Rattus norvegicus: one gene and its partners. The protein of the gene in region 2 interacts with the protein of the main gene of each other region in a biochemical or structural test. Links are inferred from orthologs where the notes say so. Each region holds a gene or a part of one and is shown on either strand. Other genes may lie near its edges.

Region 1 (3,540 bases), on a different chromosome or scaffold from region 2:
CTGAACTCATTTTGTAGACCAGGCTAGTTTGGAGCTTAAAAGACAGATCCACCTGCCTCTGCCTCCCAAGTGCTGGGATTAAAGGAGTGTGCCACCACTGCCTCACAGCAAATATAAAATATTAATGGAGGAGTGGTTCACGCCTGTAATCCCAGCACGTTAGAGTCTGAGGCAGGATTGGCATAGGTTTGAGGCCAGCCTGGGCTACATAATGAGTTCCAGGCCAGCTTGGGCTAAGTAAGAGATCCTGTTTCACAAAAAAATTTTTTAAAAGGCTACAGATAGGAAAAGCCTGAGCAACTGGGTAACTGAATAGGCCAGGATCCAGCTAGGATCTCTCCAGATAAGTGCAAAGAGGAGTTGGACTTAAGCACTTGGGGTCCAGGAGGTATAAACTGGAGCTCCTACTGATGAGAGAGCAAGTATGACTAGGAGTAAAGGGCTGAGAGGGTAAAGCAATGCAGCAAAGAACATCAAGGTAGGGGAGCTGCCTCTGAAATGTGAGGCTGAATAGAAAACCCAAGAAATCATTTTGTTCAGCCCTAGAAAATTACTAAAGATGTTACAGAGATCTGTAGAAGGCCAGGAAAGTGACATGAGAATATGGCACCCAAGACAGTTTATCTGCCAACTCCAACTCAGTTGTTGAAGGAAGCCAGATTGGGGTCCCATCCTCAAACATTTGACTTGTGAGCTCAGTACGCTCTGGGCTGTGAAGATAGTATCCCTGCCATATAGGAGCTGGAAAAAAAGCATACCCCACTATGCACATTCACAAATTTCCCAAGGCCACTGGGTGACATTTATTGTAAAAAGCACATGGGGTGAGGTTGGGACCAGGTAGGGCAGGTTCTAGGAGGCAGAATCAGAGGCCTCTGAGCTGTCTTTGACATCTGTGCTTTCTGTGGTCTCACTGACCTCACTGAGGTCCTTGCTGTCCCCACCACTATCCTCAGCAGTCAGGCCCTTCTCCTCACGACAGGCCTCTCCTGAGCTCAGAAGCACGTTGCCTTTGTTCTCCGCCTTGTTCTCCATGGCCGACAGCACCATGTGCCTGCCCTTTTCCTTCAGCTCCAGGTGCCGCCTCAGCTGCCGCCGGGAGCCCAGAGGGAAGCGGGTGGAAAGAGACAGGGCCTAAGTCTCCAGACAGGAGACAAGAGGAGCCAGGCCCTGGGGCTGGCTGGGGGAAGGGACACAGTGAGAAGTGGTAGGGCCAAGGCAGGAAATAGGACTGGGTAGAAATGTAGTTCAATCCTACCTCTGTCCTAAGCCTGCTTCATCTGTAAAATGACATGAGTTCTATTGCCCTCAAATACGCTGCTGGGAAGCCCCCAAGACAGAGCAGTGCCTTTCCAGGAGGCTTGGTCAGAGAGACCCTTTCTCCCTAGCCCAGTTTAATCCTAGATCTGAGCAGGCTGCCCCCAACCATAGTAGTCCCAATTCCTCTGTTAAAAAAAAAATCTTCCTACTGTCTCTCCTATTCCACCCATCTCCAGACTTCTTCCCCAGAAAGCATCCCATGGCCTCCTTTACAGTCAATGAAGGCCATGCCCTGACTTGACAGCTTAGGGAGTAAGGGAAAGAGGGGCTCTGATTCCTAGCTTTACAACCACAAAAGCTGACACTCAGTCTCGGTCTTGCCTCTAGTCGCCACTGCCTCACTCTGTCTCACAGCTCTTTGACATCTGTACTTTCTGTGGTCTCACTGAAAATAGACACCTTTCCCAATTACAGAATCTCCTCTACTGCTGGAATTGCTGCCCTGGCCTGGCTGAACTCTTACCTCATCAGCCATCTGCGTGAGGTCCCGCTTCATTGCATATGCATCTTCCCCATCTGCATAGTATTTGGGCTCCACTTCGCTGATCCTGGGGGTAGGATCAAGACACATGCCTAGGGGCAAATTCTCCAGGTTCTTAGGCTACTGGGGTAAATGTCATCTCCCCCTGTAGGACCTTTGTAGAGGCAAAAAGCCAGTGTAAATGGGTTTCTCCTTTTTGTTTTTCATTTGACTGGATTCTTGTTCAACAGCTATGATAGTTTTCTCTGCTCTTCAAGTAAAGCCAAATAGCATGTAGCATCCAGGGCACTTCTGATTCCTAGACTTGCTACCACTTTGTCCCTAGCCCAACCATCAAGGACTTGTGTATTGAGTTGAAGTCCTTAATTCTGCCTTCCTCTCCCTGACCTGCTCCCTGTTATTTACTGAACACATAGTTCCTCTGCTAGGAAAGAGGGACACTGTACCTGCATGTAGATGGTCATCATAGACAACCTGGTTACTCACCAGATGGATGAGGGGAGGGAGGTGTGTGTGCACAATTAAGTATCCCTGACACTGGAAGAGAAACCCGTTGATGACCTAGGAAGGTTCCTTGCCAGTCTTTAGGGATACATGCTGGGTAACTTCCTCAGTTGCTTTCCATCTTATTTTTTTCAAAATAGGGTCTCTTACTGAATCTGGAACTTGTCCATTCAACTAGGCTTGTTGATTAGTGAACCCTAGGGATTCTCTTGTCTTAACCTCTTCAGCACTAGGATAATAGGTACAGGGCACTGTATGTGGCTTTTATACATGAGTGCCAGGCATCAAACACAAGTCCTCACAATTAAGCTATCTCCTCAGCACCCATCTTTTGAGACAGGGTCTTGCTATGTGGTTGAGACTAACCTGGAACTCCCTATGCTGGGACTGCAACCCACAGTCCTCCACTTTGAGTGCAGAGATTAAGAGACATGTACTACCATACCCAGCTGGGAACTGCTGACTTAGCAGGTAAAGCAGTTCCTGCCACAGAGGCATCTTAACTAGGTCAAAAGTCCCTCCATGAATATGGATGTTGAACCCAGAAAAGCTGAAGACCACCATCCTGTTCCAATGGTGTCATCTTCACTGGACCCCCTCAAAGTCTAGTGTGGCTCAGTGGTTCCTCAAGTTAGTCTATTCGAGCCTCACTTTCAAGTGGCACTAGGTACTACTAAGTCCTCTCTTCATAGAGATGGTCATGTCCAGAGTCCTGCCCTCAGCCATCAGAAACACTCAGAGCAATAGGTCCCTCATTGCTTTTGCTCATGGCCCCCTTTCCTTGCTGTCCCCTTTCATCTGCTCTTACTTGATGCTTCCTGGAGCCAGCCATTTCTCAGCCTTTGCTCATGCTCTAGTCTATCTCTCTTTACTCCTAGACTATCACAGAGAAGCCCTGTGAGTCCTTTACCACACTGCCCTTCACCAGTCTCACTAGTACCAAGCCACCCCTCCTATACCCAACATATATTGGACCCTCCTCTACCACACACAGAGAAAACAGATGCTTTCTTCAGGTCAGTCAATAGCCAATGAGTATACAGAAACCCTCCCAGCAATGTCTAGAGTCCCTCAACCCCTTTCTCAGCCCAGCAAACTGGATGGATCATGCCACTTAAAGAAAATATCTTGATGTACTTACTGAAAGTTGAGGGTGTTGGAATAGAGATGTAGGGCAGCCCGGTTACTGTAAGGGAAAAAGGCATTGCTGAGCTTCACAAACTTGGCCAGACAGG
Region 2 (5,143 bases):
GGCCAATAGTCTTAACTATGGAGGTAGACATAAGCAAAATACCATATTTCTATTAAATTCCTGCAGAAACTAGTATTTATACTTGTCTACTCAAAACTTGAGCATCAGGGCAAGGGGAAAAAAAAGTAAGTCACTACCAGTTCTAAAACTACATTACCTTAGGTGTCTCTTGCTAGAGTGAACAGCGTGAGCCGCATATGTTTATGACTAGAGCCCAGAGTAGATTCAAAATGACCTAGTTAGGGAGGAAACACTGGGATGGGGAACTGTGATAGGTGCCTAGAGTCTATCATATGTTCAGTGAAACAACTGATCCTAGATGCCAGATGCCATGGTCCAAGGACAGGGCTTCAGTAGGAAAGAACCTTTCTAGCCTTTCAATTCAGAGCCAGTCTTCTCATTTTTTTGAATATAAGAAAAAAAATGCATGAAGGCACAGAAGAAAGGTTTGAAGATTATGAAAGTCTGAACTATAACAGTTAACACCCATGTTCAAGTATATAATGTGTTACAAACCATGTGCTGGCCTAAGGTTTTTAAATGCATTATCTTATTTTCAGAAGGCTAGTATTATCCTCTTGGGAGGGGGGGTATATAATCCACAAGTATTCAGTAACTTGCCAACAATCACAAGTGGAAAGGCTTGGGACTCCAACTTGTGGTTATCTATCTGTATCCTCTATCTAAATCAGTAGACTACTGATTCCTCAAACAAGGAGGAAAGCTAAATTATAATAAAAATTTTATTAATAAACTTCTTGATTTTTAGTGACCAACGCTAAAAGGAGAAATTAAGAAACATCTTTAAGAGATTTTATTTTAGTGACCCAATAACTATTTGGGGGGAGGGATTTGAAAGTTCAGCTACAAGCTAGAAACAGAATGAGCTTGACATTCTCTTGAAATCTAAGAATCCATATACATATTAGGTCAATCAAGTTCAGTACCAACAGCTAAGGAGTCAGACACAGCACATACCGACTGTTAAATCTATTATTCACTTTCTGTTCTGCTTTCTTCCAAATCTTTGAGATTTGAGTTTTCTATACTCTCTATTAAAAAAGCAAAATTCTTTCCCACCTGTTCACTTTGGAGGCTCATTTAAGATGGACTAATTGGAGAAAGAAAAATTTTACCTCTCAATCTTTCAACAAAATTATGATTACAAAAAGACATACTTAATACATAGCACCTAAGTGTTGAGTGACCCATCACTCATGTTTATTATCTTTTAGTGATATTAAGAACCTCTATATTAAGAAATATAATCCCATCTGATCTAAAGCTGCTAACATCTCAAACAAGAAAAATTAAATTAACAGATGGTTCTGAGGAAAACCTAAAAACCATTTAGAACTGGACCCGATGCACAATTAACTTACTTATCCATTGTAAGACTACTTTTGATTAAATACACACACACACACATACACACACACAAACAGTGTATATGAAAGAGACATGATTGGTGTATTACTTGGTATAGTGTATTAATATAATATAATTCAGCATTTAATAAGGACAGTAAGTACACAATGGCAATCTGCCTAAGGTTTAGAGAATAGCAGCCCATCATTTCATCAAAAGCATTGTAGTCACTTCTGCGAAATTAATTGCAACTAATTCTGGTAACTCCTGGAGTTAAGTCTAGACTTGCATGCTCACTTTAAAACATTTTCAAAGTGCTTTCTTTGGTGCATCCAAGACCTGGACGTTCTATGGAATAAAGACCAAGGCAAGGAAGGGATGTACAGAAGAGCAAGAAAATGAGTACATTTATCTCTTCTGCGGATATGGATAAGGGGAATTAATCTCTTCCAGAAGACTGGAAGGACTTAAGAATTAAGCCAGCCTTGTAACCACAGCTCTTACAACAAACCTTCAACTTCTTAAACTGATTTTCTCAAGGTTAAAATATCGAAGTAGACAAAACTGTGTGCTGGCGGCAGGGATCGATCTTACCACTACTAGCTGCACTCGTAAGCCTATAATGTTCTCAGACTCAAACCACAGGATGTTTCATAAACTTACACTGAGTTCTCACACACGATTTCTCACTTCGGATGTATGTTTTTTTGGATACAATTCTTTGCAGGTGTTCCAATAAACTTGCAACATTCTAACTGCTGGTTTTCATTTGCTTTCATTATATACACCCCCCACCCCATCTCATTAAATTATCGGCCTAAGTTTAACCGAAACTATCGGTAAGTTATTTTCAGGAGTGAACGAGGCATACTCATATTCATACATAACGTCTGGGCTCTCCTGACAGGTGATGCAAACACAAGTTTGTAGGAACTGTAAGTTATTTAAAATGATGCCATTTTCCTAAATTCCCGTTACTCTGATGGTGGCAAGTGTTTCCAACAAAACCTGCACGTGCAAACTAGAAAGTTAGCATCTTCCGGCCCCCCGAAGAAACTCCCTAACCTACAAAGGCAGCGGCGGCCGCGGTACAACGAGGCGGCTCCGGGGAGCCCGGGGTCGGCCTCGGAGGGCCTCGACCCCAGGAAGCTGGCAGCGCGCACAGGGTCCGCCCGGGGCCCGGTGCTCGCGGCAAACGCGGAGGTCCGGGGCGGGAAGGCGCGGGAGCTAGGGGCGTACTCGGCCGGGGCCGGCTCGGCCGGATGAGCGCGCGGGGCAGGCTGGGCTGCGAAGGCGCGGGGCGGGTGTCCGGGGCGGAGACCCCAGCCCCGCCGAGCGCTGGGCCCGCGACTCCCACCCCCCGCGCCAAGATGGCGACGTGGACCGCGGGGGAGCCCGGCGCGTGAGGCTGGGGGGGGGACGGAAGGGGAGCAGAGACAAAAAAAGGCCAGCCCACAGAACGCGGCGGCCCGGCTTACTTTTTCTTCTCGTTCTCGCCGCCGGCGCCCTCCATGGCGAATCGGTGCCCGCGGTGTCTTCCCGGCCGGCAGCCCCTGGGCTCGCTCCGGCCTAAGCGCCGGCTCTGTCCTCACGCGCAGAGAAAGGGGCAAGTCCAGAGGCGGGGTGTGAGGCGGGACACCCCCCCGGGACGGCGAGGCGGGAGCTGCAGGCTGCGCTCGCCGGGCTCTGGTTCGGGTTCCTAGTTGCTCCTCCGGCTGGCTTGTCAAGGCCTGGCCAGACACTGCTCGCGACGGTAGCGAGGACAGTCCTCGCGTCCCCTCAGACGAGGAGCCTCTGTGCACTGAGGCGCTGAGGCAGCGGCAGGGGGCGGGCAAGGGCGGAGGCGCGCTCGGGCGCGCGGCGAGGGGAGGGGAGCAAAGGGCTGCGCGCGCCCGCTAAGCCCGACGCGCGCACCCGCGGGCCCGCCTCACCTGAGCGGAGGCGGGTTCCCCGAGAGCCAATGGGAAAGGACGCAGGCGGCCAGGCCCCACCCCAGCCCACGTTGCTCTCAGCCAATCAGGAGGAGGTCAGCTGAGCCCCAGCTGGGGCGAGCTGCCCAGCTCACGTGCTCGTCTGTGTGCAGCTAGGGAGAGAAGAGAAAGGGGCGACCGACGGGTGCGGCTGAGCCCAGGTCTGGGGACTCTGCGCCTTCAATGGAAAGCTGCGTCTGGCCTTGGGAGGCGCTGCTGGAGCAAGTGGGATGCTAAGCCTGTGTCCGAACGTGCTCACACTGCCCTGCTCTCTGTGGAGTTGTCTGAGGCTCGCTTACTCCTTAGTTGCGTGGTTGGACCGGGTCCCCGCCCATCCCTCCTGAGTTTCCAGTTGCAAAAACAGCCAACTTTGTGTTCTGGCAGCCAGCCCCCTGCTGTTAGAGTGGGGTCTCTCCTTCCCAGGTGACCGGACGAAGCTCAGTCTCTGCTCTCTGCCACAGAACAAGGGAAGTCTCCAAGTCATTAACGATTTTCTGGGCCAAAGTTTGACTACTGAGCAAATGCAAATAAAAATATAAAACAAATCCCTCTTGCAAAACCTCTCAAGGCGAGTGAAGTTGCAGGGCCATTTTAAAATAAACTATCTTAATTTACACATAAATAACAGCTTCAATAAGTGAGAGCACAAGCCTGAATTTGAGTGACAAGGCAGGAAAAAGCATTGAGTAGACTTATTTTGCTATTATGTTGCTTTGAAAAAAAAAAGACAAAGATAATCTTAAATAGATGCAGAAAAGGTGCAAGAATTGTTTCAGACTGAGTTTATTAAAGTTCACTGTTTAGACTGAAAGAAGGAAGAATGCATCCTCCAACCTACAGACCTTGACAGGACTGCTCACCGGCTGTGCTGGGAACTATGGATTAAAGCAATCACTTTTGGTCGGTCTTTGGAAGCATGAATGTTAGGTCTGTGGGTATGATGTTTGTTAGTTTTTTTTTTTTTAATTTTAATGTATTCCAAGCCCAACAAAGGAACACTGCATGCACCTGCGTGTGCACACACACATGTACACACACACACGCACACACACACACACACGTGTTGGAGATCTGAATCTGAGGTCTCTGAAACTGACCTGACACTTGACTGTTTAATAGCTCTTCTTTGCCTTGTTAGTACATCGTTACAATCTAACGTTGGGTTGTATAATAATGTAGACATCTGTGGCAGATTTAAATTGCATTCAAATCCAAAAACAACGCCCCCCAATAAATACAAATGGTGTCCAGGTCTAATAAGACAATAAACAATGTATAAAGCCTCTCAATAGACCCATGAAGACACAGCTGGAGATTTAGCTTAGTCAGTCGGAGAGCAGTGGTCTAGTATGCACAAGGTCCTGGCTTCAAAAAAGAAGCTAAGACTATATAAATTGACTTGAGCAGTATTTTTGTTTGGAATCTAGAACATACCTCTGAAAGAGCTACAGGGAGTATAGATAGATAGATAGATAGATAGATAGATAGATAGATAGATAGATAGAGTAAAAGACCAAAAATAATTGCTTGTCCTTCATTTGTTTTTAATCATGGAAATATTTTCTGTTGTGACACCCGGAAAACACAGTGTTAAGAAGAATGGCTGCAGAATTCAGAGTGAGCTTGGTTATAAGCACCAGTGCTCACCATCATGTCACTCTCTGTGCCTCAGTTTAGTCACTTGTAAGAGAGAGAAGGTGGTATTTATGCTCCTGAATTAGGGGTGATTATAGCATCCAGAAAGCACTTGAAACCACATAGGGCGATAGGAAGCCATCATTAAATGCTGGGGGTCTTGTTCTTCT
Region 3 (4,860 bases), on a different chromosome or scaffold from region 2:
GAGTTTGGCTGTCTCTGCCCCTGAGTTCTAAGTCAGCCTCTGGAAGCTCACTCACATCGCATCAGGAAGCCCCAGCTTCCACGTCCAGCACCCCGTAAATAGGGCCAGGGCATTTGTAATCTCAGCACTCAAGAAATGGAAGCAGAAAGGTCATGAGTTCAACGACGTCGTCCTTGACTACATAGCGAGTTCCAGGCCAGCCTGGGCTATGTGAGACCTTCCTGTCTCAACGAAAACTAAACAAATCCGAGCTGGTTCTCTCAGTCTCTCCTGCTCTGGGGCCTCAGGCTCAGAATGGAGCTCTGGGAAGTTCTTCTGGCCCCCAGAATATCACTGCTGGAGTGTCCGTAGGACAGGCCGGTAAGAAGGTAACAAACAACCCCGTTTGATGAGGGTTGGGAGTGGTGGAGGGTTGGCGTGACACAGTGACGGTGAGCGAGTTGGCGGGTACACGGCAGTGGCAGGTCACCTGTCCCCTCTCCTGCAGGCCTCCCCCGTGTACAGCTTCAGTTTCCCCCGGAGGAAGTTGGAGTAGACCCGGAAGAGCTTGCAGAAAGTATCCGCTGTGAGTGTTCGGAGTGGAGCGGCTTGGGTGGCGTCTGGAGGCGACATCAATTCCTTCTGTCAAGAGAAAATAGGATGTCACTGGACTGCTGAGGACTACAGATAAAACAGAATGGGAGGGGTGTGCAAAGAGAGACCTCAGTATTATGGCAGGGGTCACTCTCCACAATATTTATGATAATGTGGGTGTGAATGTATGCAGGTGCCCAGGGCATCCACAATACACCCTCCAGATTCCCTGGGGGAGGGGTGTGAAGGCAGCTATGAGCCACCTGATATGGGTCCTGGGTATTAAACTCTGCAAGAGCAGCAAGCTCTCTTAAGCACCGAGCCATTTCTCAGCCCTGCCACCTGAAGTTTCTGAGACAGCGTCTCTCCTAGAACCTGGAGCTCACAGACTGAGCAAGACTGGCGGACCAGTGAGTCCCCAGGAATCCTTATGCTTGTCTCCCCCAGCTCTGGGATTACGTGTACGTTCAACCTCACCTCACTTTTTTTTAACAGAAATTCTGGAGATCAAACTTGTCTCCTTACACTTGCGCAGAGAGCCGTCCTCTGATTCATCTCCCCAGCCTGAGCTGTCAGTATTCTTTGTTTTAAACTTGATATTACATTAATTCACTATTATATGGGTGGAAGTCAAAGGACTTTCAGCTTGTGGGTCCCAGGGATCGAACTCAGGGCATCAGGCTTAGCAGCAAGTTCCTTTCCCCACTGAGCGACCTCCCTGGCTCAGACCTCAATATTCTTTAACCTTCTTGGCGCGTCCTGTAGAAGGGCAAGTAGCAGGGTTCACACAGACACTCACACTCACCTGAGCTCCCAGCACCCGAAGCAGTGAAGTGAGGCTACGTAGCCCACTGATGGCTTTGTCTATATGAAGCTGAAGACTCTCTGGTGGCTGGGAGGAATTGGCCTGCAGAGCCTGGGCCTGCAGGATGGCTTCTGAGAGCAGAGACAGGCCTTGCCAAACTTCTACAGCCTGTTCTTCCACCTAGGGGAGGCAAAGACTTAGAAACAGCCAGCCAGGGTCATCCTCAAGCAGTAAGGTTTGTTGAATGAGTGAATGAATGAATGAATGAATGAATAAGAGCTACTCTATCCCCTCAACTATTGCCTCTAACGTTCTTTCTCCCACATTATCAAGATCTGAGAATGAGACCCACCAACCTCTAGGAACCAGGGGTGGAGGGGGGTGTGGATGGACAGTCAGACAGACAGACAGATGGAGATGAGAACGGGGAGCAGACACAGTGCAGCTCACCTTCATTCTTTTCCAAGCGTAGAAGTTGACTTTGGTATCTGGGACGGTAATATTCTCACTCAGTCTGGGACCTTCTGCACAGCCCATCTAAAAGACACAGCCCTGGGTCAAGATGTCCAAGGGTTTCATTCCACCAAAAGCCACCAGACACCGTCTTTGAACTTTACCAGCAGGGTTTGGGGGCTACTAGCTTTGCCATTCTTTATTTTAGATAGTTTCATGTAGCCCAGGTTGGCCTCACTACTTGATATGTAGCTGAGGATCACCTTGAATTTCTGACCCTCCTGCCTCCACCTCCCAAATACTGGGATTGTAGGTTTGTGCCACCTAAATGGTTCGTGCGGCACTGGGAATCGAACCTAGGCTTCTTGCACAATAAAGCAAGCGCTCTACCAACTGGGCCACATCCCCTGCCCAGTTTTTTTCATTCCTGTGGGAGGACAGAAAGGGGTGTAAGGCTAAACATCTCATCTTGACCCTAAAGGCAGTTCCGGGAGGGAACCCAGATTTCCAGATCCCCTAGAACCAGTTTCTTTCTTTTGTGGGGCCAGAGCACTTACTGTGACATTTTCTGCCTCCTTGGCCTCCAAGATGTACCTCTCCAGAACGCGACTGTCGCAAATGAGGCGTGGGGGAGCGCAGAGGACTGGGAGGCCCAGAGGAATCAGTAGCAAGGATAGTAAAAGCAGCAGGGTGGGACGTTCTGTAAGAAAGGCAGGCTGAGTGTGAGGAGGGAGGGGAGGGGAGGGGGCCGTGGGACTGCAGGGGCCGGTTTGCTCAGCGAGACCCCTCTGCCCTTCTAGTCTCTGCTGACCCCGACCTTGCAATTGCTTAGGCTCTGCCTGAGTGGCCTTCATTCAATCCCTCGGCGCTGCACACCCCACCCCCCAACCGACCGGCATCCAGTTCTCGGCCAAACTTCACTGTGGGTGCACGCCAGAGGCTGGCAGATCCAGGGAAGCTGGGACTCCTGAACCCAGGTAATTCTTTTAGCAGCTTTCCACCCGCAGAGCAGCGCCTCATCTCCCTAAAATCCTAAACTTTGTCCCTGTTCTGGATCCCCCCGCCTTTTTGTCATTCACAGGGGGCTCCCCAAACCCCTTCGTGCACGTGGAGGCTGCCCCAACCCCCCTCTCTTCCTTGATCCTTGGAGAGTCGCAGGTCCTTGAATACGGCCGGCCGTTTCCTGGCCAATAGCTTTAGATGTAAATCCCTGCTCAAACAGCAGCCCTGGAGGTCACAGGTCCCTAGCCTGTGAGTACTCACCGGGCACCCCCATCTCCGCGCCTGGCTGCTGCGGCTCCTTAGCGACCCGGGGCTGGGCCAGTGTCCACGCTGTGAGTCTTCATCCTTAGAAGTTCTGTGGGGCCAGATCACCCCAGTAGCCTGGAAGAAGGTGGTCACCGTCCAGGGGGCGCGGGCAGAGTGGGGACGCGGTGGCCCTGGCCAAGGGTCTGTTCGGGAACACAGTGAGACACAGCCACCGGCCGGGGTTGGTCCGGGGACACTGTGGCTCCGGCCGGGGGTCGGGGATGTTATCAGCATGTGTGCGTGCGCGGGTGGGGGTGGGGGTGAAGCTGTGTGTGCGTGAGGGGTCGCCAGAGGTGGGGGCCACCTGGGGTCAGAGCAAGGGGCAGGACGCCTGGGTCGGGTCCTTGCTGGGGTAGAGCAGGCTGTTCCAGGCACACACGCTGTCAGGGGGGTCTTGGGAGGGGGGTGGTTCTGAGTTACAGGAGGGTAGACCAGTGGAGTGCGCATCTGTGAGATGTGCGGGAAGGGAAGCGTGAGGCTGAGGTGAGGATAATTGAAAAGCTGGGCACCAGAACACCTCCCCTGGGGGGCGTCCTTGTCTTGGGGCAGGGATTTAGATCAGAAACAGCTAGAGCTGGAGTCTAGAAGCAGCTCAGATGCTTTTTCTTCTTACAATCTTAGACTTGTTCTAAGGGTCAGGGTTGACCCTGTTGAGGAATCGGACTCAGACAAGTGGAGTAATGAATATGGGCCTCCTCCCCTCCCTCTCCTCATTTTCTAGAACCCTAAAAACCCAGGAAGGTAACTTTCAGAACAGGGAGCCTGTGGTGCATTACAGAGGACACGTGGGCAGGTTGACAGTAGGTTCTTGCTTTTTGTCTTTTCAGTGCTGAGACGGGAACCCAGTGCTTTCTATTAGGCAAACACTGTAGCTAAACTCCCATTGAGCTGTGGGATTCTAGGCAGGGGCTCTACCACTGAGCCACGCCCCCAGCCCCTCACTGGGGGATTCTAGGCAGGGGCTCTACCACTGAGCCACGCCCCCAGCCCCTCCCTGGGGGATTCTAGGCAGGGGCTCTACCACTGAGCCACGCCCCCAGCCCCTCCCTGGGGGATTCTAGGCAGGGGCTCTACCACTGAGCCACGCCCCCAGCCCCTCACTGGAGGATTCTAGGCAGGGGCTCTACCACTGAGCCACGCCCCCAGCCCCTCCCTGGGGGATTCTAGGCAGGGGCTCTACCACTGAGCCACGCCCCCAGCCCCTCCCTGGGGGATTCTAGGCAGGGGTTCTACAGATGAGTTTGGTCTCCAGGACCAATGTCTATTTTGTGCAGGATAAAACAAGATATGTTTTAATCTTCTTCAAGATCATACACAGCAAGACAGGTTCTGAACATGGCAGGCAATGTATCAGAACTGGAGTGTGCAGATCTGAGGTGTAAGAGCTGAGGGTGAACAAGCTCATATCCAACCAGGGAAGTTAAGGCAGATGGGATGGCAGAAATCACTGAGCTCAGACTTGAGGATTGAGCAGTTTGGGTGGAACACAATTCTATGGGATGTGGAGTGGGGTGGGGGGCTGGGGGGAGTGTGGAATGAGGGGATCAGACCAGAGTGCTCTTAGGGAGGAACCAGGTTGTAAAATAGCCGTGAATGCTATTCTAAATAACTTGGATTTAAGAGAGAGGGAGAGGGAGAGAGAGAGCTCCAGTCATCTCAGCACTTAGGAGGCTGGGGGCAGCCAGTGCTACATAGTGAAACTATCTCAAAAGATAAAAGAA
Region 4 (4,920 bases), on a different chromosome or scaffold from region 2:
CGGTGGCTCACTGTGTGTTCCTAGAACACGTGCTCCTGATACTTGTTTCCTTGTGTGTGTCTGTGTGCCTGTGAACATGAACATTCTTCTCCATGTGCCACTGGAGTTCTTGTGCAACCCAGACTCCTGGTCACACTTGATGATGATGTCTTATCTCCTTGTACCCCGATGTCTTTATATGGCCTTCTGGAGACAGGTGCAGCCCCCCCAGGACAGCTTCAGCTGCTCTCACAAAAGGTCAGCGAGTATCCGACCCCATTGATTGCCCATTTGGTAGGCCCGGAGTTGGTGGAAAGGGTGGGGCATTCAAATAACCCTATCCACACAGCCCTCCCAGAAATGGTGTTATAAATGTCAGGAGTAGCTTAGTGAGAGAGCACTTGCATCGCACGTGGGAAGCTCTGAATTCAGACCCCAGCACTACATAAACAAAAAAATCCACCCGGGCTAGAGAGGAGCTGGGTTTTGCAAATGTCTTCTCTGTGAGTCTGTCCCAGGTTGCTTTAATCTGACTCCCACAGTTGCCCTGAGGGAGAAGCAAGGAGCGGGTCATGCAAATAGTACACATTTGTTCGTTTGTTCTACCCGGTTTCGCTTCTCTAAGGACATCCCGTACTCACCGTTATTTTTTTTAAGTGCTTATGTAAATTACTGACGTAGGAATTTACATACACTTTCCAACTAACTGCGCAGTCATTTCTCAATATCCTCTTGGGGTGTGTGCAGGAACGGCCCATGTAAATGATATATTTGCATAGCAAATGCCAAGAACCCAGCTGCTAGCCATTCTCTGACACTTTTGGCTCTGAGGGGTGGGCCTTTCTGTGTGAAACTGCTCATTCGTACCCCCTCCAAGGGGCCGTCTTAAGAACTCACAGAACGCCTTTTCCTGAACCTGCGTGTTTGCTTTCGCGTGGAAGGGGCGGGGCACGTAATGCAAATGAGCCTCGCGTCCGGGACCAGCTCACTTTTTTCTCCCGTAGGGTGTTCTAAGCCTCCTGTCACTGTGCGGTTCGCGCACGCGCAGTCTCCTCGGCCTGGCCGCGGTCACGTGCCCACCGGGCGAGGCGGGGGCGGGGCGTCGCGGGCGGTGGGGGGCGGGGTATGGCGCGCTGTGAAGCGCAGGGCGGCTGGCACAAACGGCGGCGCCGAGGCCGGAGGAAAAAGCTCGGTGAGGGGGTCGCGCGAAGTGAAAGACCTGGGGAGGAGAAGGAACCAGAGGTCCGGTTGCCGGACGCGGACGACTGGGCCGGAGGCAGGAGGCGGGAGCGCGCGCGGGCGGCCGCGACCCCGCGCTAGGGGGGTTGGGGGTGGGGAGGGAAGCGCGCTCCCGGCGCGGCGGGGCGGGCCATCGAGGGCGGCGGGAGCGCGCAGTAACCACCGAGGGGAGGGGCCGGGCGGACGCGGCCCCGCCTCAGTCGTCCGCGGCGTCCGGCGGCCCTTGGGTCACGGCGGAGGGGTTTGGGGAGGGAGGCAGTCCGGTCGGACCCTCCTCTCGGGCTCCCTTCCGTCAGTCCGTCCGTCTGGCAGGACCTCCCTTCCGGCTGGGTGTGTGTCGGGCCCCAGTAGGCTTCCTCCCGTAGGGCACAGGTCAACCCCACCGGCCCTCTCGCTCCCCTGCCGTCTTGTTTTTCTCCCTGTTCTCTTTGTCCCTGGACTCCCGGTTTTCCCCGCCTGTCCTGGCTCGTGGCCTTCCACCCAGGCGATCTGGTTCCCGTGAATGTCGCGCGGTGGCATTGCCCGCTGGTTCCCCACAACCCCGACTTTACCCTAGATTCCACATTCCCGTTTTCTGTGTCATCCTCCCTCCTTATCTCTGAGTCTCTATAGAAACCTCTGGCAGGTACCTCGTATTTCCCACTTCTCACCATTGCTTTTCTTCCTCAGATCTCTCTATCTCTCCCTGTTGCCTTCCTCTTTGGGCCGTCCACGCAGTGTTCTCTGCACTTTTCCTCTATTACTCTTTCTGCCAGACATTCCCTTTCAACCCTCTCAAATTCCCAAGATATATACCCCTATGCCCCCTCGTCTCAGCGAGCGTGTGTGTGTGTGTGTGTGTGTGTGTGTGTGTGTGTTTGCTGTGGCCCTGTCATCTGCTTACCGCTGGTACCATTCCCAGCCCTTCCCACCTGCTTGTCTCTGACTCTTAAGTTCTTCCTTTTCTCTCTTCCAGCCACCCCCATCAATCCTTTCTCAAGCTCCTAGGGACAACTGTGGACTTGGGGATCAGCGAGCACCCCCAGAGCACTAAAGGAGCCCCTGCTGCCTGCCCTGCCTCACCCTGCCCCACACGAGGCCCAGCGGCCCCGGGCTGCATCAAGTGGAGGAGGAGGAGGCGGAGGAGGGTGGCACCATGGGCCCGGGCCGTGCCCTCCATGCCCGGGGGATGAAGACACTGCTGCCATGGACAGCCCGTGCCAGCCGCAGGCCCTGAATCAAGCTCTCCCTCAGTTGCCAGGGTCTGTGTCAGAGTCCTTGGAGCCTAGCCGAGCCAGGATGGGGGTGGAGAGTTACCTGCCCTGTCCTCTGCTCCCCTCCTACCACCGTTCAGGAGCATCTGGGGAGGCCTCGGCTGGCAACGGGACCCCCAGAACCACAGCCACTGCTACTACTACCACTGCCAGTCCCCTGCGGGAGGGCTTTGGTGGGCAGGATGGTGGTGAGCTGTGGCCACTGCAGAGTGAAGGTGCTGCTGCGTTGGTTACCAAGGAGTGCCAGCGACTGGCGGCCCAGGGTGCCCGACCTGAGGCCCCCAAACGGAAGTGGGCCAAGGATGGTGGGGATGCCCCTTCACCCAGCAAGCGACCGTGGGCCAGGCAAGAGAACCAGGAGGCCAAGGGGGAAAGTGGTGTGGGCTGTGACAGCGGTGGCGGCAGCAGCAACAGCACTACCCATAGCAGTGGCGAGGCAAGTTCTAGGCTGAGGGAGGAAGCCCAGCCCTCTGCACCTGAGCGCCTGGCCTTGGACTATATTGTGCCTTGCATGCGGTACTATGGTATCTGCGTCAAGGACAACTTCTTGGGGGCAGTACTGGGTGGCCGTGTGCTGGCTGAGGTGGAAGCCCTGAAGTGGGGCGGGCGTCTACGTGATGGGCAACTAGTGAGCCAGCGGGCGATCCCACCGCGCAGCATTCGTGGGGACCAGATTGCCTGGGTAGAAGGCCACGAGCCAGGCTGCCGGAGCATTGGTGCCCTCATGGCTCATGTGGACGCAGTAATCCGCCACTGTGCAGGGCGGCTGGGCAACTACGTCATCAATGGGCGCACCAAGGTAAGGCACTTTTCCGGTGAGTGCCTGATGCTTTGGCATGCGGGTCTGGAGGCAAGCCTCTGGGGTTGTGTAGTAGGGTGTAGGCAGCTCCACCAGAGAGGCTACAGTTACCTCCCTCTAGACTTTGATTTTTGTACCTGAAATAGGAGTTCAGCCTGGGATGGCAGTGGTCCTTGACCTTGGCAGACCAAGAGCCCCTGACTGTCGTAACCCTCCTTAGACCAAGGGTAGGTCAGCTGTCATGCAGAAGCAGAAGTCTGGCGTTGTCGCGGTAGCCTAGGCTGAGGATGGGTGCTGCCTGTGTAGTTGAGCACCTAGCCTGGCCTCCATCCTGCCCTGGAGCCTACTCTTGGCATCTGCACCAAGAACCGCTTCCCAATGGGGTGACACTGGGTGACAGTGTGCTGGCCCAGGTAGAACACTTGTCAGCATCTTTCCCACTCCTCCCTGCCCCAGTCCCTGTTCTTTGTCCTCTGTCCGTTTGTCACTTCCTGCCTGCATTTCTCTGATCTCTTTCCTTGACCCTCTGCCTTTATATTTTTCTCCTCCATTCCTCCTTGTTGCAGAACAGTAGTTCCTAATGTTTTTGAAGTCAAGGCTTTTCAGGTAAATCTGCTGAAACCCATAGACCTCAGGAAAGGCATGCATTTGGTCGGAGTTTGTGGGCAGTTGTCAGGGTCTCATAGGCCTCCAGCAGTTCATTCAAGAACCAGGGGTCAGGAGCCCTGACTGGACAGTGACCCCCCATGCCTTTCTGGTCTGTGACCGTATCCATTTTCTTCATGGAAGAGTATGTGAGCCTGCGGCTCGGTGTCATTTCAATACAGTCCGTTGAGAGTACCTGCTGCTGGCCAACAGTGGTTCCTGGCTGGTGATCTTAGTAGGCTGTGTTCTGCCCTGTAAGCGGGAGGCTGTGTTCCCAGTGGTGCCTCCCTTCTCTGTGGGGTCCTATCTTAGGTTCTGCCTCAATACAGCTTTCTTTTCAGGCTGGAACTGGCTTGGGGACCATGGTTCCCCCACCTCCCACCCCCGGCCCAGGCCTATTTCCTCCCCACCCCAGCTGGAACTAGTCCTACTTACATCTCCCTCCTGTTATGTGAGAGCTGAAGAGCCAGAGCTGGCCCCTCCCTGGGTTGGCTTCTGTGCAGGCAAGATCGGTGTTGCTTCCCCGGCTCAGCAGCTCTGCAGGAGGGAAGTCAGGAGGGACACAGGAGAGCTCAGTGCCCAGAGACTGGGCACAGCTCTGTAACCTCAGGGTGGGAAAGCTGGGCCAGGTGCCTGGCTACTCAAGCAGTCTGGGAAAGCAATGTAAAGGAAGAAGTTGTTTTCCCCTGGGGCCTGCTCCCACCTGTGTTATTGACAGGACCTGAGCTAGGCCTGCAGAGGGGTAAGAGTCAGGTTCTTCTAAGTGACTCTTACCCCTCAGGAGGGAAGAACAGGTCAGATTGGTGGGGAGGGAGAGCTAGCTAGCCCCAGCACTCTACACAGCAGCTCCATGCTCTCCCATTTACAAAGGAAGAGCCACATGGAGCCTTCCTTCCTGTGCTCTAGAGAGACTATGGGGTGTTGAGGTGATCTGAGGCAGTGGCAGTGAGGACACTGACCAGAAGCGTGGCCTTGGCCAGCAGTAACCTAGCCTAAGTCATCTGT
Region 5 (3,211 bases), on a different chromosome or scaffold from region 2:
AAACACATATAAAAACTAAAATACAAATCTCAAAATAAAAATAAACAGCATCTTGGATTTGCAGCTCATTCATGCCCATATGCTAAGAAGGGACATCACCATTCTTTCCCAAGCCTTTAGCAGCCCTGGGAACTTTCCAGAGCTTCCCTGGTGACTCAGAGATGTGGAAATGCTACAACAGCAGGCCTGAAAGCCAGACTGGTTTCGACCAGGGCCAGTGGCAAAGTTCTGGTTCTAGGAATAGGGAAGGCAATTTATATGGAAACTAGATACTGGGTGTTGCTTCTTTTCCTCTTTTGTGGTTCTGTGAATCGAACCCATGGATTCACACATACTAGGCAAGCACTCTGCCACTGAGTTACAGCCTCAGCTCCAGGAATTTGCCTCCCTCCACATAAGCTATCTAGGAAAAGAGGGCTGATAGACTTTGCTAGTATGTCCTTCATCAGGCAGCAGACGTGACCTTTGGAAGGACACAGGCACTTCATGGAGTCACGTGCACGCACCCAGCCTTGGCGTGGCTTGCCAAATCTGAAGTCTGGCATTTTCCTGGTGGGGAAGGGCTTGTTACAGTAGAACCAACCTGGTGAGGTAGAGTCTTTGTAGGTCTGAGAACTTGAACTTGGTGGTGGTGGAGTGGTACAGGGATAGCTACTTTCTTACATCATGATTTAATCACACCAAAGTTTTGGTAGTTGAAATTCACCACCATACAGACCACCAGTCACTGATAGTGCTGTCAGCACCCTGTGTACCTTAAACATCTCACCGGGACATTTTTCTTGTTTACCAGTGTTGGAACCCAGGCTCCAGCTCAGTGTTCAACTGCTTCCATAGCTTGCCTGATCCTGACCCTGCCTCCAGCACCGTGAAAAGAGAACACTGGTTTTGTCCAGTCCTTAACACTTCCGGGGGACTCGGGCCAGTGATCCTGCATTCTTTCACTATGCTTATCCCTTCTTTGATCGCAGCTCCCGGTCACCGCTCTGTAAGCTGGTACTTCCCTAGCCCTTCCCAGAACTTTCCCAGGGCAGCTTTCCTATCCTTTTCTCTTCTGCCTCCCTACATCCACTCCCTTTGTTACGGCACTCAGCAAAGGCACAAGGAGCTTGCTCCCTTCTCTTGTGGGGAGCAGGTTTCACGTCAGGGGAAAACATAATAATGGAGGAAACAGCAGGCATTTTTCTTTTCACAGGGCGAGTGATAGAAGCCAAGCCTTGACACCTTATAGGCAAGGGCTCTATGATGAGCTACACGGCCAGGCCAAACCGGCACCTTTTCTTTTCTTTTTCTTTTTTCGGAGCTGAGGATCGAACCCAGGGCCTTGCGCTTGCTAGGCAAGCGCTCTACCACTGAGCTAAATCCCCAACCCCGGCACATTTTCATAGTGTTATCGTACTCTTGTTAGAACCAGATTCTGTTCTGATGACCCTGAGTTCTTTGAGGCCGTGAAGAGTTTGTTGATTATACGTGCACTCTGTGTTCTCAGTTGTTCGTCTGAAGTTTACCGCGCATGTGTCATACAGTGGGGCCCAAAGGTTGAGGCCGGTCACTCACTGCGCATGTGTCACACAGTGGGGCCCAAAGGTTGAAGCGGATCAAACGGTGGGGTTGGTCACCTGTGTTTTCTTTTGTGCACAGGTCTGGGTGGCACAAAGTACATCTCTTTTGAGGAACGCCAGTGGCACAACGACTGCTTTAACTGTAAGAAGTGCTCCCTGTCCTTGGTGGGGCGAGGCTTCCTCACAGAGAGAGACGACATCCTCTGTCCTGACTGTGGAAAGGACATCTGAAGGCGACACAGAAGCCACAGCGCGTGGCACTGAGATTTGGGTGTTTTCTTTCATAACCAGGCAATGCTGTGTTCTGGTTTCCACCAGCCACCCCGAGGCTCCCTCTCGCTGTCCCGGCTTCATGTTTGTTGAAACCCCTTTAGTTCTTCAGTTTCAGTGGGGACAAGATTCATCTGTAAACCCCGGATGGGAAGATGGCTTAGAATTTTATAGAAATGCAAGGCAGATTAAATGGAAAGGTCTTGAGTGTCTTTATATTGCATCCTTTCTTCACATCCTATTTAATTTTTAAGTGCAATTAACATTTGTTATGAACTTGAATGTATTTTCAAGGGAGAGCTGGGATTTGCAGCTATGTAACTTCCGTTTTTGTGTAAAACCTAGAGTGAGATTTATGTGACTCACAATAAAATTATTCGGAATAAAACATTTTGCCAAGCACAGTGTGTGAAATAATGACAAAATGTTAGGGTCTCACTTCCCATAACCGTTTTGAGGGTCAGTGACCACTGCCTGAAGTACGTTCTGATGGTCAGTATAGGCTGGACTGCGGTGGTGTTCTTCAGAACTACACTTTGTTTCAAGAAAGCCTTCTAGTAGCACCAACGTTTCTCTCACAAGCTTCCCTTCTCCTGGAACATAAATATTCTACATTTGATGTGTAAATCTGTTACATAATATGAATGGCAGCAAGACCAGGAGGCTAATGACAGGGAGGCCACATTTTTGAGTCACTTTTAGTAACTGCTTTCATATCCATCAAGACACAAACCATACAAGGCCAGAGACAGTACCTGGTTCCTTTAATACCCTCAGCCTCAGCTTAATGTGCGCGTGCGCGCGCGCGCGCGTGTGTGTGTGTGTGTGTGTGTGTGTGTGTGTGTGTGTGTAAGAATATGTATAAACATGTAAGTGTGTGAATGTATATGTGTCTGTGCAGGTAAGTGTGTCTCTGTGTGTGTGATGATGTGTGTCTATATAAGCATGTATGTGTGAATGTGTATGTATAAGCGTGTGTGTGTGAATGTGTATATGTGTATATATGTGTGTATATATGTATATGTGTGTGTGTATGCACGCACAGGAGATGTCCAGACTCTCACTCTGTAGCAATCCTTCTGCTTCAGCCTCATAGATACAGGAATTACAGGATGGTCTATTGTATCCAGCTCACCTTCAGGATCTCGCTACAGTACACAGACAAACAGACAACTCAGACTCCAAGAGCAGTCTGTAAAGGAATCTTGCCTAGTGGCTAAGCTAGGACATGGTGAGCCTGACTTGTGTCCCTGACCACATAATCATTTCTCTTTAGGATGATAGCATAGTTGTGTTTCTACCTTTTATTTCCTAAGACAGTTTGATAAATAGACAAGCCATGCCAAAGAGAACACATCTGTTCAGTGCACAAATGTAGT
Region 6 (4,343 bases), about 21 Mb from region 2:
AGTGAACCGCAAAGCCCAGGCAACTCTAACTTTTTCTTAATGGTCGAGAAGGAAGGGACAGAAGGACAGGGGAAAACATTCTAAGGGACTGAGACTGCGGTATGCACAACTCACAGAACAGGAAGTTAATAGTTACTTTAAATTGAAGTCAGATTTGTATGCTAATGAATCCCAAGGAGGCTCCTTCAATTTCCATCACTCCAAACAGGTTCTCTCAGTTTTGGGGTGTACCCAGCACTTCCTTATATAGGACATTAGTTTTCAGGAATCTAGGGTTCGTATGCACCCTAGAAGAGGAACTGTGACCCCCACCTCTTACCTGGTGGCATAGGAGGGCTGAACTTCATGTGGATTCCTGCGGTCTGACCAGAAGAACAGGAGTCTATCAAAAATGGGCTCCACGTCTGCTACAAATGATTTTCCTTCTGGAAATATCCGCAGGACCCCTCCATGTAACTGAAAACCAAGAAGATAATTAGTTATTTCCTGGTCTCACAGGAGGTTTATCAGCAATGATGTGTTACCTCTATCCTGGAGAAATACCACCCATACTTCAACTTTAAGTGGGTTTTGGCCCATAACTATTTATTCCCCCTCATACTTTGGAATTGAACTTGTATCAGACTTAGCTATAGACAGTTATATTCAACTTCAGTTCAGCATCTTCCCATTCCCACGGTCATGAAGGCCACAGACGCAAAATAGGACAGTCGGAGCACCACACAAAACTGTCCAAGTCAGACTGCTTCAATCTACGCCCCCCATACAGCTGCTCCTGTAATAACTATTTATGGCTGACCTCTGAACTCTTCAAATGCCCTCTGACCCCATTGACTGGACCCTTCCGTGACCTTTCACGCCATGCTATCTGCATCTTGTTGAACATCTATCCGTCTCCTCAGTTGCCTTTTCTTTTTTCACATGAACAATCTACTTGTCCTACTAGAACAACTAGCTATCTTCTTAATATTTGGCACTAATTCCATAAGTAGGGGTTTGGGGGAGGTAAGACATAAACAGTGGAGACCGGCTATTAGAAGCTATAACTCCCTTAAAGCCACCGGAAGGTTTTACCTAGTTAGAAATGGCATGCTCTTTTGATCTGAACTCAGAACACCTCTATCTGCACCTTCTATAACATATAACTCCCCAAGCTACACACATATGCGCACGCGCGCACACACACACACACTCACACAGACACTCACGCACAGACACAGGCATGCAGGCACACACTATTCCACAGTACCTTGGCGTCCCAATTCTTATTCAGGTAGTAGATACAGGTGATACAGCGGCCATCACCATTGGGGTTGTCCACATGACGAACATAACCTGTTCCATTTCCTGGATAGCAAGCCACCATCGCCTGTGGAGACATTCCAGAGATGCTGTTTAAAAAAAGTGTAGGTAGTCTCCTCCCACAGCAGAGGTACACAGTGCATACATTTGGATTACGATCAGAACATAAAACGAACACAAGGTAATCTTTGGTATGAAAGCTTAACAGGCGGGCCCGGCCTTAGGACTTGGTGCAGGGTAAGTGATCTGGTAATATTCCCACGTTCTAGAACACTGAGAACTTCCTAAAGAAACCCACCCACATCATCAACAAGATGCTTGCCTTTCTTTAATATTCCTTTGTGGAAAAGCAGGTTCCGGGTTCCCATCCAAGCCCCATGAGATCAGAATCCAGAGATATGAGAGGCAGGCATAGTATAGTGGGCACGGACATGTAAACGTTAGTACTCAGAAGCTGGGGCACAAACATGAGGCCAGCCTGGCCCACAGAGGGAGACCCTCTCCAAAAGGAAGGAAGGGACAGGGTGTGCAGAGAGGTTAAACGAAAGAAAGAATCTTTGGTGTGGGGCTTAGGGACTGTGCTTGGTTAGCAGTGCCCCACGTTGTGGAATTACGCAGGTTTTCTTACAAAAACGTGTCTGATTCTAAAGGGAGTAAAGGTCACTTACTCAATAAAAGCTTAGGACCGCAAGAAAAGAGAAGGGTCAGTGGAAAGCCAGACCTTAACACTTAACGAGTCAGCACACACAATACAGGGAGATCTCTTAGAAGGGGAAAAAAGCCATTCATTTATGTAAATATATAAATAGACATACATAAATCAATGTAATATATAAATAAATGTAACACACACACACACACACACACACACACACACAGAGGAATGTATCCCTAAATCCTATGTTCTTCCTGATGATGGTTAACCCTATACCCTCAAGGTGGAAGAAGAAAGCCACCTAGAAAAATCCTAACTGAGAATTACAATTACAGGTTAATATGCCTTTGTTGTTTCATGGGGGAAATGTAACAGAGGTGGGGGTGGGGTAGAGAAGCAAAATATAAAACCTATTCTCATTACAAGACACAACTATAATTTTTAAACATTATAGGGATTTGGAGTATGTAAGGAAAACATCGGAACTAGTAAGGAGAGCCCGAAGCTTCCCTCGTACCTCAGTTACCCGTGCAATCTTGGCGTTAAGGAGCACCAGACACAGAGGTTTGTCCACTGAAAAGCTGACAGATCATATCAGTGTGTCAATGAACTTGTCGACGGTTCTTTGCTACCAGAGTGCATGCTACCCAGCTTAACAGCTTTCCTTCCTCTGATTTGAAAGCATACTTTCAGACATATTTAGGGGTCTGGGTTGTAATACTCCTTGATAAATAGCAAGGTTACTTCATGAGGAAAAGGAGTAGTCTGGAACAGCCCCAAACTAAGCCACTGGCAGTTCAGGGAGCTGGTTCCCAGTAGAGCCTGAAAACAGAGTTGGGCCTCACACACACTGCGTGCTGGAAGCTCAGTAGTGGCCTGGCTTTGGAATGAACTTAAGTTAAATCAGAGGCTATCTGTACTTGACCATCCTCGCAGCGAGCGACCCCTCAGCTGGCCTCTGGACAAGCCACTGTGCTGTCCTGTGTCGAGCTGAAGTTGCTCTGTTAGCCAGAACATTTCCCCAAAAGTCGGGTTTTGAGGTGACTGTAATAAGGATTTGACAAATGGTATTACCAAATAGATGGCGGCTCGAAAAAGAGGCGGTTGTGAGCAGCCAGAAGCGGCTGGCCTGGCCGCAGAGGAAGAGACAAGTTCCCTAGGACATAGGGAATCACCTATTCCTGGAAGCAGCGGGTCGTAAGTGTGTGAGGGCCAACAATGAAAGCCACTTAGCACAATGACTCCATGATTCCCCCACCATCCCAGTCTCCCCACTACTGGGCAGACTTAAAAAAAAAAAAAAAAAAACCAAAAAACCGCCTGCTGTCAGTCAGTGTTTCAGCTTTATATTCCGAAACAGCTCTGCTCCCAGAAAAGGTCAGCGGTCTGGATGCCTGCCATCTACCTCATCTGCAATCGACTGTGATCCCAGGCTCCTTCCTGTGATGAGGGGGGCGGGCTACATGGTTTATATCGATTGCCGATTTGACAGGATGTAGGATCACCTTGGAGACAAATCTCTGTTGGTGTTGGGGATAGATTTTGTAGATTGGGTCAATTGAGGTGGGAGACCTGTCCTAACTAAAGAAGAGAGAAAATGAGCTGCCGCCAGCATCCTTCTCCCTCTGCTTCCTGACTGTGGAATCACCGTGTCCAGCTGCTTTGAGCTGCGCCATGACTTCCTGCCACGAAGCACTGTGCCCTGGGACTTGAGCCAAAGTAAATCCCTCCTTCCTTCAGCTGCTTTTGTCGGGTGTTTTGTTACAGCAATGAGACAAGTAATTAACACAGTCCTCCAATGTCCAAAGAGAAGACTTGATCTAAGCTCAGCACGTTGTGAAGAAAGCAGTGTCCTGTAGGACATTAAGACGCACGCACAGGCTTTAGAACTCAGCGCGAATTAAAGTACAGGCGGGAAGTACAGACAGTTCCCACAAACGCACCCTCCACTAACTGCTGCAGGTATAAAACAGAGAATGTGCTGGCACAGTGCCTTGTGGACTTGCCACTAGGACACCCCGCTATTTGTGAGCATACATGTTGTTAAGGGAAGGAAGAAATCATTTTTCTGGCCGGAGTGCAAGTCACCCTCTCTCCGATTCCAGAAGCCATGTGCATCACGTTTAAACAATGAGAGGAAACCACGGGAAGCTCAAAGGTCCCGCCGCAACCTTGCTGACCAATTGTACCACTGAGGTCTCTGGCTGAGTGCCACAGGAGATGGGTTTTGGCTTGAACACATTCATTCCCCCAACTGTCTGCTGGTCCTCGACAGGATCTCAAACTGTGAAGCTATGGATGCACTGATAGGCAAACCTCAGGGACGAGTCATCAAGCCCATGCCAATTTGTGCACGGGGCAGTAACAGACTCCGGAAACTGATGGT
Region 7 (3,514 bases), on a different chromosome or scaffold from region 2:
GCTCTCCGAGCCGCAGAATGTTCTCTAGTCCATTGAGGGCCACTTGTACAATTTTTGAATCCATTACAGTCAGCAAGTCACACAGGGGCTTAATGCAGCCCAGTGATACCAAGTACCTGGGGACCAGAGAGGACATATGCCCCACATTAATGCAGAACACAGAAATTGCACCAGGTGCTCTGACCTGTGGGTCTCCCTCATGCACACCGATACTCCCAACAAAGCAGTCTTCCCGAGTGTGGATAGCCACCTAGCCTTTTTATCCTCAGCCCTCTCTGTCACTGATCTATTACCTAATGAACAGAGCCCTATTGTCACCTTGGCTACAATGTTATCACCAAGGTTGCTCAGGTTCCTTATTCCCCTGAGTACAGCTTCTGTGGTATGTTAGTACAGATTGTCTGCAATCTGGCCCCTACCTCTTTTTAGCTCTAGTCAGAATATTCCATTCTGAGGGTATTCAATTGTGGTCAAATTTGAGAAGATCTCCAGATTTCTGATTGATATATATATATGATCTAAAGTCCTTCTATATAATGCTATAATCCTCCTTTCTACCCCCAGCACCCTTTTAAACATGACTTTTTTTTTTTTCTTTTTTTCGGAGCTGGGGACTGAACCCAGGGCCTTGCGCTTGCTAGGCAAGTGCTCTACCACTGAGCTAAATCCCCAACCCCTAAACATGACTTCTTTATGTAGCCCTGGCTCACCTGGGATACACTACATAGACCGGCTGACTTCGAATTCAAAGATCTGACGTCTATCTCTGCCTCAGACTTAGGTTGTACAGCATCATGTGCACCTTATAGTTTCCTTTTAATGTTTTAACTCAATGGCTCTTCCTTTCTCCTGAGACGTTAATGTGGACAGGTTAGTAGGTTGTAATTAGGGGAAAGACAAATCTAGCGCTCATGGTTCTCATGTTCAGATGACAAACACTACAGTAAAGGAGCAAAGGTGCAAACCGAGGCTGAGGCATGTCCTTGCAACCCCAGCCCGAGAGGCAAGAGGGCCACAATCTCAAGGAGAGCTCAGCATACACAGAGAGCCCTAATCTCAACAAAACTAAACAAACAAACACCCCAAGACTTAGCTGGGTATAGATGTGTGTGCACATAATCCCAGCACTTGGGAGATTGAGGTAGGCTAGGTTAGCTTGTCTCAAGACTCTGTCTCAAGTAAAACAACCACAGAAAACAACCTGGCAATCTAGTCCAGAGTCCAGGATCACTAGCAGCTCACTAGTTAACCTTAGACAGTTAGACTGGGGCAGGCTCCCACCAGAAGACACTTGAGTCATGTGAATACCACGAACAGGAGAGCTCAGATGATTTAGGCTCTAAGGAAAGGAGTCAGACCTGATTTGCTCAGGGGTTCCTCCTGAGGTTGCATTGGTGATGGCCCAGGCTGCTTCTTTCCTCGTACGGAACTCTGCTTTCTGAAGGATTTCGATCAATACAGGGAAGATATTTGCATCTATGACAGCCTGAAACAGAGGTGAGGAAGGAGGACAGAAGCAGACAGTTTAAAAAGCAGAAGGATCAGGCATGGTGACATATGCTTCTGTAATTACCAATACTTGGAAGGTGGAGGCAGAAAGACCATGAAGTCAAGGTCATTTGAGGCTAGCCTGGGCTACATAAGACATTGTCTCAGAGGAAGAGATGAAGAGCAAACCAGAATCAAACCTCAGGCTTTTTTCCATTAACCCACCTGCAAACACTTTCTTCTTACTAGAGAAGGGACACGGTGTGGGGCACCTAGCTGCCACTGTAACCGACTGGTTATGCTGCCCCAATTGTTTTGGTGGTCTTGGGCACTGAATCCAGGTGACTCAATTAGGCCAACTCCTACTAGGGAGCTACACGGCTTGCAGATTTTCCTTGGCTCCCGTTACAAAGGGAAACAAATGCTTCTTCTGGAAGCAAGTCTACCTGTATTTGAGCCCTGTTGCCAGCAGTGATGTTTGAAATGGTCCAGCAAGCTTCCTTCCGGATTGATTCCTTAGAGCTGCTCAGCAGGTGGAGGAGGCAAGGGAGGGCTGAACAGTTAAGAATGACCTAAAACACAACAGCATACGAAATGTATCAAAATTCAATATTTAGTCAATCCAATTAAGAATAGATATGCATTAAGACACCATCGACAGTGCAAAGCCAACCTGCGGAATATTAGAAAATACTTGTAAAATAAGTATTGATTGATCCAGAGTATATGAAGTTATTTATTTATTTTTTTTTTTTTTGGTTCTTTTTTTCGGAGCTGGGGATCGAACCCAGGGCCTTGCGCTTCCTAGGCAAGCGCTCTACCACTGAGCTAAATCCCCAACCCCATGAAGTTATTTTTTTAAAAGTTATTCTTTGGGGTTGGGGATTTAGCTCAGTGGTAGAGCGCTTGCCTAGCAAGCGCAAGGCCCTGGGTTCGGTCCCCAGCTCCGAAAAAAAGAAAAAGAAAAAAAAAAGTTATTCTTTAAAAAGACTTTATGAGTACACTGAAGCTGTCTTCAGACACATCAGAAGAGGGCATCAGATCCCGTTACAGGTGGTTGTGAGCCACCATGTGGTTGCTGGGAATTGAACTCAGGACCTTCAGAAGAGCAGTCAGAGCTGATCCATCCATAACAACTGAGCCATCTCTCCAGCCCCATGAAGAACTCTACCCTAAGCAATCAAACTAAAATGAACAAAGGGCTTGAAAAGACATTTCTCCAAAAAGAGATACATGGATGATCTATTAGCAATGTAATAGGCTCATGATCACTTATTGATAGAGAAACAGAAGTCAAACCAGGAGACAGCACGTTACAGTCATTGGGATGGCTGACACAGACATAACAGAAGTGCGATGTCTTGGAGAGGGAGAAGCTGGAGCATGGAAGAACAGCGCTGGTAGAGACAGAAGACGACACGGCTGCTAACCTTACAGATTAGCATAAATCACCATGTTATCCAATCTCTTTTGCATACATGTGACCAAAAAAAAGGGAAGCAGAGACTGCACACCAGGGCGCACAGCAGCATCATTCACAACAGCTAGGGAGCAGAAACAACATACACGCTTACAAGACGATGAAGGCTTTAAAACAGAATGCACAGACACTAGAACACCATTCAGCCTTACTAAAGAATTCAAATTCAACACACAAAGATGTGAAGGACTAATATGTTGTGACTTCACTTACAAGGAAGTGTCTATAGCAATCAGTGGAATAAAGCCACACATAACCGGCCAGAGGAGGGAGAGCACACACTAACTCATGGGGACACCTGCTGAGGACGGCAGGCAGGAAGTCAGCGGGTTCTAACTTTGGAACAGGGAGCCATGCAGTGCCCTTGGCTGTGGGTCATTCCAGCTTTATCTTACATCTCCATGTCCATGTGTGTGCAGGGCCACACTGCTTACTCTTCTGAGACAGGACCTTGTACCGCACAGGCGGGTCTCAAAGTCCTGGGCTGCTGCTTCCTTCCTACGTCAGCCTCCCCAGCAGTTGCACCCCCACCCTGCTACTGGTTTG

Evidence for each region.
Region 1: the proteins of Hif1a (region 2) and Naa10 form a complex in vitro, tested with the Homo sapiens proteins (4 studies listed by BioGRID and IntAct, with this or other methods). The link is inferred for Rattus norvegicus from reciprocal best matches to the Homo sapiens genes HIF1A and NAA10.
Region 3: the proteins of Hif1a (region 2) and Epo form a complex in vitro, tested with the Homo sapiens proteins (2 studies listed by BioGRID). The link is inferred for Rattus norvegicus from reciprocal best matches to the Homo sapiens genes HIF1A and EPO.
Region 4: the proteins of Hif1a (region 2) and Egln2 form a complex in vitro, tested with the Homo sapiens proteins (3 studies listed by BioGRID, with this or other methods). The link is inferred for Rattus norvegicus from reciprocal best matches to the Homo sapiens genes HIF1A and EGLN2.
Region 5: the proteins of Hif1a (region 2) and Fhl2 form a complex in vitro, tested with the Homo sapiens proteins (2 studies listed by BioGRID). The link is inferred for Rattus norvegicus from reciprocal best matches to the Homo sapiens genes HIF1A and FHL2.
Region 6: the proteins of Hif1a (region 2) and Egln3 form a complex in vitro, tested with the Homo sapiens proteins (5 studies listed by BioGRID, with this or other methods). The link is inferred for Rattus norvegicus from reciprocal best matches to the Homo sapiens genes HIF1A and EGLN3.
Region 7: the proteins of Hif1a (region 2) and Kpna6 form a complex in vitro, tested with the Homo sapiens proteins (2 studies listed by BioGRID). The link is inferred for Rattus norvegicus from reciprocal best matches to the Homo sapiens genes HIF1A and KPNA6.

Annotation. Positions count from the first base shown.
Region 1 is NC_086039.1:156,806,613-156,810,152, forward strand, and holds the end of Naa10 (N-alpha-acetyltransferase 10), read right to left. Parts: intron 3,492-3,540; coding exon 3,447-3,491; intron 1,956-3,446; coding exon of another isoform or gene 1,937-1,955; exon of another isoform or gene 1,922-1,936; intron 1,894-1,921; coding exon of another isoform or gene 1,881-1,893; exon of another isoform or gene 1,869-1,880; coding exon 1,784-1,868; intron 1,181-1,783; coding exon of another isoform or gene 1,090-1,180; coding exon 853-1,089; 3' UTR 766-852; downstream 1-765. UniProt on the Homo sapiens protein: Catalytic subunit of N-terminal acetyltransferase complexes which display alpha (N-terminal) acetyltransferase activity. Acetylates amino termini that are devoid of initiator methionine.
Region 2 is NC_086024.1:98,357,962-98,363,104, reverse strand, and holds the start of Hif1a (hypoxia-inducible factor 1-alpha), read right to left. Parts: upstream 3,208-5,143; 5' UTR 2,882-3,207; coding exon 2,847-2,881; intron 1-2,846.
Region 3 is NC_086030.1:24,839,554-24,844,413, reverse strand, and holds the start of Epo (erythropoietin precursor), read right to left. Parts: upstream 3,130-4,860; 5' UTR 3,108-3,129; coding exon 3,095-3,107; intron 2,532-3,094; coding exon 2,389-2,531; intron 1,916-2,388; coding exon 1,829-1,915; intron 1,559-1,828; coding exon 1,379-1,558; intron 622-1,378; coding exon 466-621; 3' UTR 1-465. UniProt on the Homo sapiens protein: Hormone involved in the regulation of erythrocyte proliferation and differentiation and the maintenance of a physiological level of circulating erythrocyte mass.
Region 4 is NC_086019.1:91,583,574-91,588,493, reverse strand, and holds the start of Egln2 (prolyl hydroxylase EGLN2), read left to right. Parts: upstream 1-1,508; 5' UTR 1,509-1,548; intron 1,549-2,173; 5' UTR 2,174-2,403; coding exon 2,404-3,270; intron 3,271-4,920. UniProt on the Homo sapiens protein: Prolyl hydroxylase that mediates hydroxylation of proline residues in target proteins, such as ATF4, IKBKB, CEP192 and HIF1A. Target proteins are preferentially recognized via a LXXLAP motif.
Region 5 is NC_086027.1:52,880,114-52,883,324, reverse strand, and holds the end of Fhl2 (four and a half LIM domains protein 2), read left to right. Parts: intron 1-1,641; coding exon 1,642-1,793; 3' UTR 1,794-2,234; downstream 2,235-3,211. UniProt on the Homo sapiens protein: May function as a molecular transmitter linking various signaling pathways to transcriptional regulation. Negatively regulates the transcriptional repressor E4F1 and may function in cell growth.
Region 6 is NC_086024.1:77,389,902-77,394,244, forward strand, and holds part of Egln3 (prolyl hydroxylase EGLN3), read right to left. Parts: intron 1,370-4,343; coding exon 1,250-1,369; intron 457-1,249; coding exon 320-456; intron 1-319. UniProt on the Homo sapiens protein: Prolyl hydroxylase that mediates hydroxylation of proline residues in target proteins, such as PKM, TELO2, ATF4 and HIF1A. Target proteins are preferentially recognized via a LXXLAP motif.
Region 7 is NC_086023.1:147,277,651-147,281,164, forward strand, and holds part of Kpna6 (importin subunit alpha-7), read right to left. Parts: intron 2,061-3,514; coding exon 1,935-2,060; intron 1,487-1,934; coding exon 1,359-1,486; intron 117-1,358; coding exon 1-116. UniProt on the Homo sapiens protein: Functions in nuclear protein import as an adapter protein for nuclear receptor KPNB1. Binds specifically and directly to substrates containing either a simple or bipartite NLS motif.